Arabidopsis thaliana: one gene and its partner. Each later gene encodes a partner of the first gene's protein in a complex. Each region holds a gene or a part of one and is shown in the gene's direction. Other genes may lie near its edges.

The links.
Region 2: PTAC7 (region 1) and PTAC14 share a complex: the UniProt entries of both Arabidopsis thaliana proteins name them as parts of the transcriptionally active chromosome (TAC) complex.

What each region holds. Positions count from the first base shown.
Region 1 is NC_003076.8:8,275,771-8,279,698, forward strand, and holds PTAC7 (plastid transcriptionally active7), read left to right. Parts: upstream 1-1,929; 5' UTR 1,930-1,979; coding exon 1,980-2,021; intron 2,022-2,102; coding exon 2,103-2,150; intron 2,151-2,228; coding exon 2,229-2,312; intron 2,313-2,993; coding exon 2,994-3,329; 3' UTR 3,330-3,424; downstream 3,425-3,928. Other genes in the region: ABIL3 (ABL interactor-like protein 3), read left to right, coding at 1-87, 171-298, 379-555; AT5G24313 (uncharacterized protein), read right to left, coding at 1,336-1,581; AT5G24316 (proline-rich family protein), read right to left, coding at 3,503-3,655, 3,735-3,842. UniProt on the Arabidopsis thaliana protein: Essential for chloroplast development, especially for thylakoid formation. Involved in plastid gene expression, probably by maintaining plastid-encoded RNA polymerase (PEP) activity.
Region 2 is NC_003075.7:10,876,867-10,882,666, forward strand, and holds PTAC14 (plastid transcriptionally active 14), read left to right. Parts: upstream 1-1,950; 5' UTR 1,951-2,047; coding exon 2,048-2,104; intron 2,105-2,159; exon of another isoform or gene 2,160-2,220; coding exon 2,221-2,376; intron 2,377-2,789; coding exon 2,790-2,927; intron 2,928-2,974; exon of another isoform or gene 2,975-3,009; coding exon 3,010-3,135; intron 3,136-3,219; coding exon 3,220-3,348; intron 3,349-3,448; coding exon 3,449-3,538; intron 3,539-3,626; coding exon 3,627-3,777; intron 3,778-3,883; coding exon 3,884-3,993; intron 3,994-4,068; coding exon 4,069-4,140; intron 4,141-4,233; coding exon 4,234-4,339; intron 4,340-4,423; coding exon 4,424-4,618; intron 4,619-4,709; coding exon 4,710-4,831; 3' UTR 4,832-5,186; downstream 5,187-5,800. Other genes in the region: VSR7 (VACUOLAR SORTING RECEPTOR 7), read left to right, coding at 1-99, 180-249, 334-494, 652-733, 824-906, 998-1,061, 1,160-1,288, 1,374-1,477 and 1 more. UniProt on the Arabidopsis thaliana protein: Essential for chloroplast development, especially for thylakoid formation. Involved in plastid gene expression, probably by maintaining plastid-encoded RNA polymerase (PEP) activity.

The sequences.
Region 1 (3,928 bases):
TACTTCAGTCTCCCTCTCAACGGAAACCTCAACGTTCAGCAACCTTTTCGTTCTCCTCTATCGCCACCGCACCAAAGAAAGAACAAGGTAAAAGACAGCTTCACCTTGAAATTGCCGTTTTTGGCTTAATATGTAAACAGAACCTTTAAACAGTGTGCATGGTAAAATAGATAAGCGAGCAGTATCACCACATCGGTTTCCGCTGCTAAGATCTGGTTCGGTTGCTATCCGACCGTCATCAATCAGCCGGCCAACAACCCCGAGCAAGAGTAGAGCGGTAACTCCAACTCCTAAACGGGTAAGCTTCGGTTACATTTCAAAAACACTCACTTCTAGGCTCTATCTCTAACGGTTGATTCTTGATATTTTCTGGCTCAGTATCCGTCAGAACCAAGAAGATCGGCTTCGGTTCGGGTTGCGTTCGAGAAAGAAGCTCAGAAAGAACCAGAGCATCAACAACAACCGAGCAAGAGCAAACGGCTGCTAAAGGCGCTACTTAGCCGACGCAAAACAAAGAAGGACGATACGCTCTACACTTATTTGGACGAATATTAAACCGAAAGCTGGTTTTGTATGTTGACTGGTAAACCGGAAATTACATTCCAGTTTTAATTGCATTTACGTAATGTCAAATTGTCAATATATGTGTTACAAAATATGTCCATGATTCTATGATTTTGTGTATACCTTATGACTGTCAGAGTGTGAATGCAGTTTTGTTTACAAGCGTAGTAAAACTTGCTGTGAATTATTTTACTGCCGATTTTAACCAAATTAACAGCAAGTTTATATATACAATTTCGTTCTCGAAATATTATTTGACAGTTTAATATATATTTTGCATCAATTACTGTTGCAAGAATAATTATGTTTTTGAAACTTTTGCTTTTATTTATCCAGTTTTTGAAATTGATTAAGAATGTTTGAGACTAATCCTCCCTTTTTTCTTTTTTTTTTTTTAAGCCGTGGTAATGTGGTATTCGTTCGGTAAATCTACCTATTCAAAAAGATAGTATCATCGACTTTTCTGTTGTATTAACTTACCATTTACAAATATTACATTAATTAATTTGAAACAAGTCAAATTTATTGTCACCAAGAATGAAGTACACGTATACAGATAAAAATAAAGAAGAAAAAAACAGAGACAACTTTTCCGGAGATTTTACTTTAGAAAGCAAAGAAAACTAAATCAAACCAAGCCTTCAAAAATTAGGTAGCTCTTATAAACCGGATCATAAAACCAAACATCAAAACATATGTATGCTCTTTCAAAACATGGTACCAACTCACGAGTCTTTTCATCAGGGCCGATTCTCACCATCACTCAATGGTCTAGACACCATCAGTTTGGGGTTCAACTTCTGATCTTTTGGGTGGTGGTGGAGGTGGTGATCTGTCGTAATGCTCAGCAACAAGTGAACGATGAGAAGAAGGAAGAAAAACCTGACGAGACTCCATCGATGGAAAATAAGATGATGGTACATTATCGTCAAGAAGTTTCCGGTTGGTTTGAGCATGCCCGATCATGATCATAGCTAAGAGAACACAACATATTAAGAGATGATTCCTAGAAGCCATTTTCTCATCCGGTGATCGATAGAGTTAATTTCTTTGCTTATCAACTATGTTGAGGTTCCATCTTGTAATGTCTTATGTATATACATAGCTCACAAAGTCACAATAGAGGGTTCCCACTAACTATTATTAGATTGATTGATTTCTGAAAAATATTATTTTTGTGTACCAAGTAAAATTATATGATTTTAGATTTGTTGTTAGTTTTGATTTGTTTTAGATTTTTTTTTTGTGCAAGTTGAATTATTATTGTATAGATAAAATGACGAGAAAAAAAAATGCCCGGTTCGGTTAGGAATGATTTGTCCAAATACGAACACAACCAAAGATAAACCATTAAACCGAACCGGAGAAGCTTACATATAAAATAGGATCCGGTTCTATCTATTCACTGTGTATCAATGGCTTCCTTCACCTGTTCTTCTCCATCTTCGATTTTACCTGTAAAAATCCCTCCTTTGCTTCTCTCATAATCATCCTTTGATGTCAATGTGATTTCTCATTTTCAATTATTGTATATTCAGATTATTGATACGAGAAGTGGGAATTTGCGATGCACATTTCAGTCTCAGGTTTTGAATGGTTGATATATATACGAATTTGTGGGTTTTTGGGGGAGAGTTTTGAGTGAATCTGGTTGATTTTTTCAGGTTTCTTGTGGGATTCAGAGAGATGATAATGGACGCCGTGTTTGGCGGAGGAGAACATTGGTAAGTACTAAACTTGATATTTTGGTGATTTTCCAGTTTCATGTTTATGACATAAGTCGAATCAGGAATCAAAATAAGGGTTTTTCTTTGCTTGGAGACGACATTTCTAAAAAGTTGCAATTTTTAGTAGGATCACAGATTAGCTTTAACTCACTGATGAGGCATGACTATTAACTCTAGTTAGTCTTTACTTAGTCATAGTAATTGATATGATGCATAGAAGGAGAGATGGAGATTGTCTTCTCTGAGTTTTTGCGATTTCTAGTTTACCCTTCTTGATTCCAAATTAGCTTACACACCTGTTTCAAAAGTGTCTTTGTTGAACTATGCTCATTTCAGACGCTAGCTTTAGTTCTTATACTGTTGATGAACTTAAAGAAACATGGCTTTTTACCTCTAGTTAGTGTTTACTTATATATATTCAAGTAACCATGGTCTTATCTCTATGGCACATGCAAGAAATTGGAGATTGTCTTATCTGAGATACTGGGATTTTTAGGTGGGAGTTACACATTACATAAAATATTAGTGTGATCTTTTTACTTGTACTATATTCTACAAACTATCAGTTTCTGTTGTTTGATCCTATCAGGTTCATGAGGTTTTGAGATTTCAATAATTACCAAAGCCAGAACAATGCAAAATCTTTGTTTATATTTGTCCCGCTTTTAATCTCTCTATGTCGTTCTCCTGTTTTGTCTGTAGACGAAGAAGGACGATATGTTGCGTTACAAAATGCAAAGAGTTCCATTTGTGGAAGAACAAGTAAGGAAGATAAGAGAAGTTGGGAAGGTAATGACAATGGACATAGAGCAGCTTCTTTTGAGGGAAGACAATCGGTTTGAATTTGTCAATAGCGTAGCAGCTGAAGCAACAGAGTACGTGGACAAGAACAGAGACGAATATGGAGGTTCCAAAAAAGCCATCTTTCATGTTCTAAGCAACCGTGTGAACGATCTCGGCTTTGATCGCCCTGAGGCTTATGTAGAAGCTGATCCTTACAAACCCGGTCCTGGCTATTTGTTGGAGTACTACACTTGATATATTATAACAAAAAGTGTCAATGTACTTTACAGCTTTTGTTCTTGTATTACCAAAACCAAATCAATGCATTCACAGCTTTGTTGTTTTCTTGGCCAAATTTCATTTTATTTATTTAGATTTACTAGATGAAGACGAAAGTCTAATGACAAGAGTTTAGTAAAAGTAACGGTCTAGTGATTTGTGGTGAAAGGAGGTCGTCGTGTCGGTGGAGGAGGAGGAGGAGGTACATATGGCATTGGTCGTTTTGGGATTGGTCTTGGAGACCAGTCCCCATAGTCTTCTTTGTTATAGACAGTTGGTTCCTTTGTCACAACCTCATCAACCTTTCAAAACCAAACTCATACACTATTAAAAAAGGAAGACACTTTTCGTAATACTTCATTTTTGCTATAGGGCACGTACTTGTGTTCCTGGAATTGTAGGGTCGGATGGCTTGGGAGGTCTTAGATGCGGCCCAGCGTAGTCCATCTCCAGATCGATTCTTCTTCCATTCATGACCATCTCTTTAACCTTTTTAAATCAACAAGTTTTATATCTTTTTGTTTTTAGTTTTGATGCATATTTGTAATCAAATATATAACGCTTTTAGAACCGTG
Region 2 (5,800 bases), on another chromosome or scaffold:
CTTTTTTCAGATTTACCTATTGAGAAGATCAAGAAATGCATTGGTGATCCTGAGGCTGATACAGAGAACCAAGTTCTGAGAACTGAGCAAGTATCTCAGGTTAGTTTCTTAATCTATCTTTATTTAGAGTTTTGAAGAAACATTTCAGAGGTTTGGTTACTAACTGTAACTATTTCAAGATTGGCCGAGGAAACCGGGGAGATGTTACGATATTGCCAACATTAGTCATCAATAACGCTCAATATCGAGGTTTGGTACTTGATATTTTTTCAGTTTCACTCTCTCTTTATGAAGATGCTGAAGTTTCTGTTGTTATTGGTTGCAATTGTGAAGGGAGATTGGAGAGAACCGCGGTTTTAAAGGCGATATGCGCTGGTTTTAATGAAACATCGGAGCCTGCCATTTGCTTAAACACAGGTCTAGAGACAAATGAGTGCCTTGAAAACAATGGTGGTTGCTGGCAGGATACAAAAGCAAACATCACTGCTTGTCAAGTATGTCGTAAAACCGAGCTTACCACATCACATCTCACCACTATATTGAATATCAGTATCAATTTGTTTGGAATTGTTTTGAAAACTAGAGAAAATGTGAAAATCTAGAGAGATATTTTCTAGTCCTATAATACTTGAATCTTTTTTGTTTGATCAGGACACATTCAGAGGAAGACTCTGCGAGTGTCCGGTTGTAAAAGGTGTTCAATATAAAGGAGACGGGTACACTTCATGTACACGTAAGTTGTTCACACATTTCACACAACATAGCTCTCAAATGTTGAGACCGGTTTCTTGAATAGTCTCTGGTTTGTGATTGAGCTTTGCAGCTTATGGGCCTGCGAGGTGTACTATGAACAATGGAGGTTGCTGGTCTGACACAAGGAACGGCTTAACTTTCTCTGCTTGCTCAGTTTAGTGATTCTCTTGTCATAAGCCAAACCCTCCCTTACAAAGTTCTTGTTTTCAGTTCAATCATCTCTTTGTTATTTATGAAAAATTAGGACTCTGTATCTACTGGCTGCAAATGTCCTGAAGGTTTCCAAGGCGACGGTTTGACGTGTGAAGGTACATAACTCTTAACTTATCGATTAAAATCTCGAAAGAAACCACATAATCATATTACCAACAATGTAATTATGTTTTCTGATTTGGCTCTATTGCAGATATTAACGAATGTAAAGAGCGTTCGGTATGTCAATGTAGCGGTTGCAGATGCAAGAACTCATGGGGTGGATACAAATGCAGCTGTTCTGGTGACCGGCTTTACATAAACGATCAAGATACTTGTATAGGTAAAATTTTATCAATCAAGATTTAAGAGTACTCAAATTCCATAACAGTATCTAATTAATATACATTGATGATTGTTTGTTACAGAGAGATATGGATCCAAAACGGCATGGTGGCTCACATTCTTGATACTGGCTATCGTTGCAGTAGCCGGTTTAGCTGGTTATATATTCTACAAATACCGGTTCAGGGTACTACTACTCTTTCTGATTCCACAAAAGCATTTTTGTACTTAATAACGGTTTTAGGATTACCAAACTAACTTTTCTTTGGTGTTCCTATTAACAGTCTTACATGGACTCAGAGATTATGACGATCATGTCACAGTATATGCCACTTGAGAGCCAAAGAGCTCGTGAAGTTCCATCAGAAGCCGAGCCTTTTACACTCTAATAGTATATGACCAAAGTAACCAAAACTGTCATACACAAAGAAATGTTTGAGATCAATTAATGTACATATGAATTATACTGTAAAAATAAAAGAGTGAGATAGAGTTGTGTATATTTTCATGGCAAAAAAATAAATAATTTGGATGTAAAGAGACTTTTGAAGAAAATAAAACAAATATTGCTTTCATTGAGAGTTGAACTCAAGACCTCCCGCTTACTAAACGGGTGCTCTAACCAACTGAGCTATGAAAGCTTCTTGCAACATATTATTCCAAATAAATTATATCGTAAACTAAGAGTTAAAATCTTGAAAACAAAGGATAACGATCTTCGTCTCCCTCTGCTAAACCCATTTTCTTCTGTTGAGGAATGGCTTCTTCAGTCTCTCTTCAGTTCCTGACCAACACCTTTATCTCCAAACCTCAGGTTCTTAATCTTATCTCTCTGTATCACCTAATGTTTCTATGTCATGTGTGTGTGTGTGTGTCTGTCTTTGTCTGAATTTTCTGAGTACTCCTCATGTTTTTTCCGGTCGGACAAAGGGTTTCTGCAACGGAATTGTGTCAGCACCAAGACCCAGAAGCAATTTATTAAGAGACAGACAAAATGGTGTACGACCCATCAAAGTTGCGTCTATTGAGACACAACCTTTCCCTCTGTTTCAATCTCCTGCTTCCGAAGAATCTTCCTCGTCCGAGGTTAGGATTTTCAGTTTTGAGTGTTTTAGGGTTTATAGAGTTCTAAAAGGCAGTACCTTTGACAATTCTTTGCATTGCCCCTATCTGGGAGATTGATTTAGAGTACAAATGAGTTCTAAAGGTAGTACCTTTAGACAATTCTGTTCATTGCCCCCATATGTGATATTGATTTAGGGTACATATGAGTTCTTAAGGCAGTAACTTTAGACAATTCTGTGCATTGCCTCCATCTGTGAGATTGATATAGGGGACTTCTTAAGGCAGAAACTTTAGACAATCTTGTGCATTGCCCTCATCTGTGAGATTGATGTAGGGTACAAATGAGTTCTAACGGCAGTAACTTTAGACAATTCTGTGCATTTCCCTCATATGTGAGATTGATTTAGGGTTTTTGTCTTTTGTTTCTTCACTAGCTGGAGACAGCAGATCCGGATTTCTACAAAATTGGCTATGTTCGAAGTGTGAGAGCTTATGGAGTTGAGTTTAAAGAAGGTCCAGATGGTTTTGGTGTCTATGCTTCTAAGGATATCGAACCTCGCCGTCGAGCTAGAGTCAGTCTTCTTAGTTAAAAAGTTGACAACTTTTTGTTTTGTTCTTCTCTTTAGATTATTTTGTTTTCTTTTCTCTCTGCAGGTGATTATGGAGATTCCTCTTGAACTGATGATAACCATTAGACAGAAGCACCCTTGGATGTTTTTCCCTGATATTGTACCAATTGGTCATCCTATTTTCGATATCATTAACTCGACTGATCCTGAGGTAGTAACACATTTGTGCTATTTCGATATCATCAACTCGAAAGTTCTTATCTTTCTCAAAGTCCTTTCACATTTGTGCTTACAGATTGATTGGGATATCAGATTAGCGTGTCTTCTGTTATTCTCTTTTGATCGAGATGATCACTTCTGGCGGCTCTATGGCGATTTCCTGCCGGCTGCTGATGAGTGCAGCAGCTTGCTTTTAGCTACAGAGGTGGATTGAATTGATATGATTGCCATTTGAAACTGGTCACATTTACTTGTGTCTTTAAACTAATGCTTGATGATATCTAATTCTGTGTGTTTTTCTATAGGAAGACCTTGCGGAGCTTCAAGATCCTGATCTTGTTTCAACTATCAGACAACAACAGAAACGAATCCTAGATTTTTGGGAAAAGAATTGGGTAATGAGGCCTTATATATGTGTTTCCAGTATATCTTGACATTTGGTTATTGCTTTGTTTTTCATTGGCAAATTGTATTCCGTCTCAGCATTCAGGTGTTCCTCTCAAAATCAAAAGGCTTGCCGAGGATCCAGAAAGATTCATATGGGCGGTTAGTATGGCACAGACACGATGCATCAGTATGCAAACTAGGGTCGGTGCTTTGGTTCAGGAATTAAATATGATGATTCCTTATGCTGGTAAGGAAGAGCATGTTGTGTAGTTATTGATAAATTAAGATTTAGTATCAATGAACTTTTTGTTGAGGAACTAAATAAGAATCTCACGATTGATCATTCTCTGCAGACATGCTAAACCACTCATTTGAACCAAACTGTTTCCTACATTGGCGTCCTAAAGATCGCATGCTGGAGGTTATGTCAAATGCTGGTCAAGACATTAAGAAAGGCGAAGAGGTAAGAGACTCAAATGTTCCTAAGTGTCAGCCTCACTTCACTGCTTTATCTATCTTCTTATAATGCTTTTCACAGATGACGATTAATTACATGCCAGGCCAGAAAAACAACATGCTTATGGAAAGATACGGCTTCTCAACTCCTGTGGTAATGCTTTTTACGACAATCACATTCATCTTACACAAACTATGTTTCCTTTGCAAGTTTTCTCGTTTATTCAGTTTTTCTGGTCTGCTGCAGAATCCGTGGGATGCTATAAAGTTCTCTGGAGATTCTCGCATCCATTTAAATTCCTTTTTATCGGTCTTCAATATTTATGGTCTTCCTGAAGAATATTACCATGACAGTAAGTTCCTTTTCTTCTGTTTCCTCTCTATTCCTTGACAAAAGATGGAGAAATGAGCACCAATGTTACCTAAATCTGTGGCAGGCGAGTTATCGAGGGGCGATACTTTTGTTGATGGAGCAGTTATCGCTGCAGCAAGAACATTACCTACTTGGTCAGACATAGATCTTCCTCCAATACCGAGTGCGGAAAGAAAAGCAGTTAAAGAATTGCAAGATGAATGTCGAAAGATGCTTGCGGAATATCCCACAACAGCAGAGCAAGACCAGAAGTTGCTAGGTATTACACTAAAGATATATACACCAATGTGTTATTATCTATTATCGCTCATATACTAAAACTTAAGCTTTCCCTCTTGTTGTTGTGACAGATTCAATGTCAGAAGCAAGGACAACATTTGCAACAGCGGTTAAGTATAGAATGCACAGAAAGATGTTCATCGGAAAAATTATCAAGGCACTTGACATCTATCAAGAACGGTTACTCTATTGATTCAAGCAAAAAATAATTATGAGCTGAGTGAGATTCATACTTGGTGCTCACTCCCTTGAGCTACTTAGAAACTGCACCATGTAATTGAAAGGTTCCTGTTTTTTTTTTTGTTTAGTGTAAGGTTATGTATTTGTATGGAACAGTTAGACTAAGTGTGTTAGTTTGTTTTAATCGCAATCACAAACAAATCATAACCTCTTCTTTTCTTGGCTGCTTTAATGAGTTTGATTAGCCAACAAACGCTTTGGAATCATCTGTGTTTTTTTTTTCTCTTTTGATTAATTCATGTTCATGTTTTTAGTCCCTAAGCATGATTAGTGTCTCAAATGTTTTAGGGTAATTGTGTCTCTTACGCCGAACTATAATGTTGATTAGTCTCAATAATTGATTATTACTTATACTATTTATTAACCTTGTGGTTACACTAATCAATCAAATCATATTGCGTTTCTTCTACTCTTTGTCTAACATTACTATTTTCAAAAAAAGTTACGGTCCAAACCAAACAAACCTACTCTGAGTTATACAGAACCATAAGCAATCTATTTCTTACCTTTGGCTACTTATTTGATACTTTACATTGACTAACTTGATTCTTAATAATTATCTTCAATATGTTGAATATTTTATTTTTGAAGTAAGACCACTATGCGTTTCATAATTCTTGCCATGCATAATGAAATTATTCCTTTGAATTTAAGATTAATTAAAGTATAAATCAACCAAACAATAGACAAAAAAAAATAAAAAAAAATAAGCATCTTGATCTTTTTGGTGGATCGAAGATAATTCCTTTGTCTCATTCTTTTGGATTTAGAATCTCGTTCAGTAGAATATTAACATTTTTAATTATAGATTATCAATTATCGAACAAGTTGTTGTACGTAAACTTGATTCGATCTAGCGTTATTACAGTCAACCAAAATTTATATAATAATAACAATTTATGAAAATGACAATATTATTCGA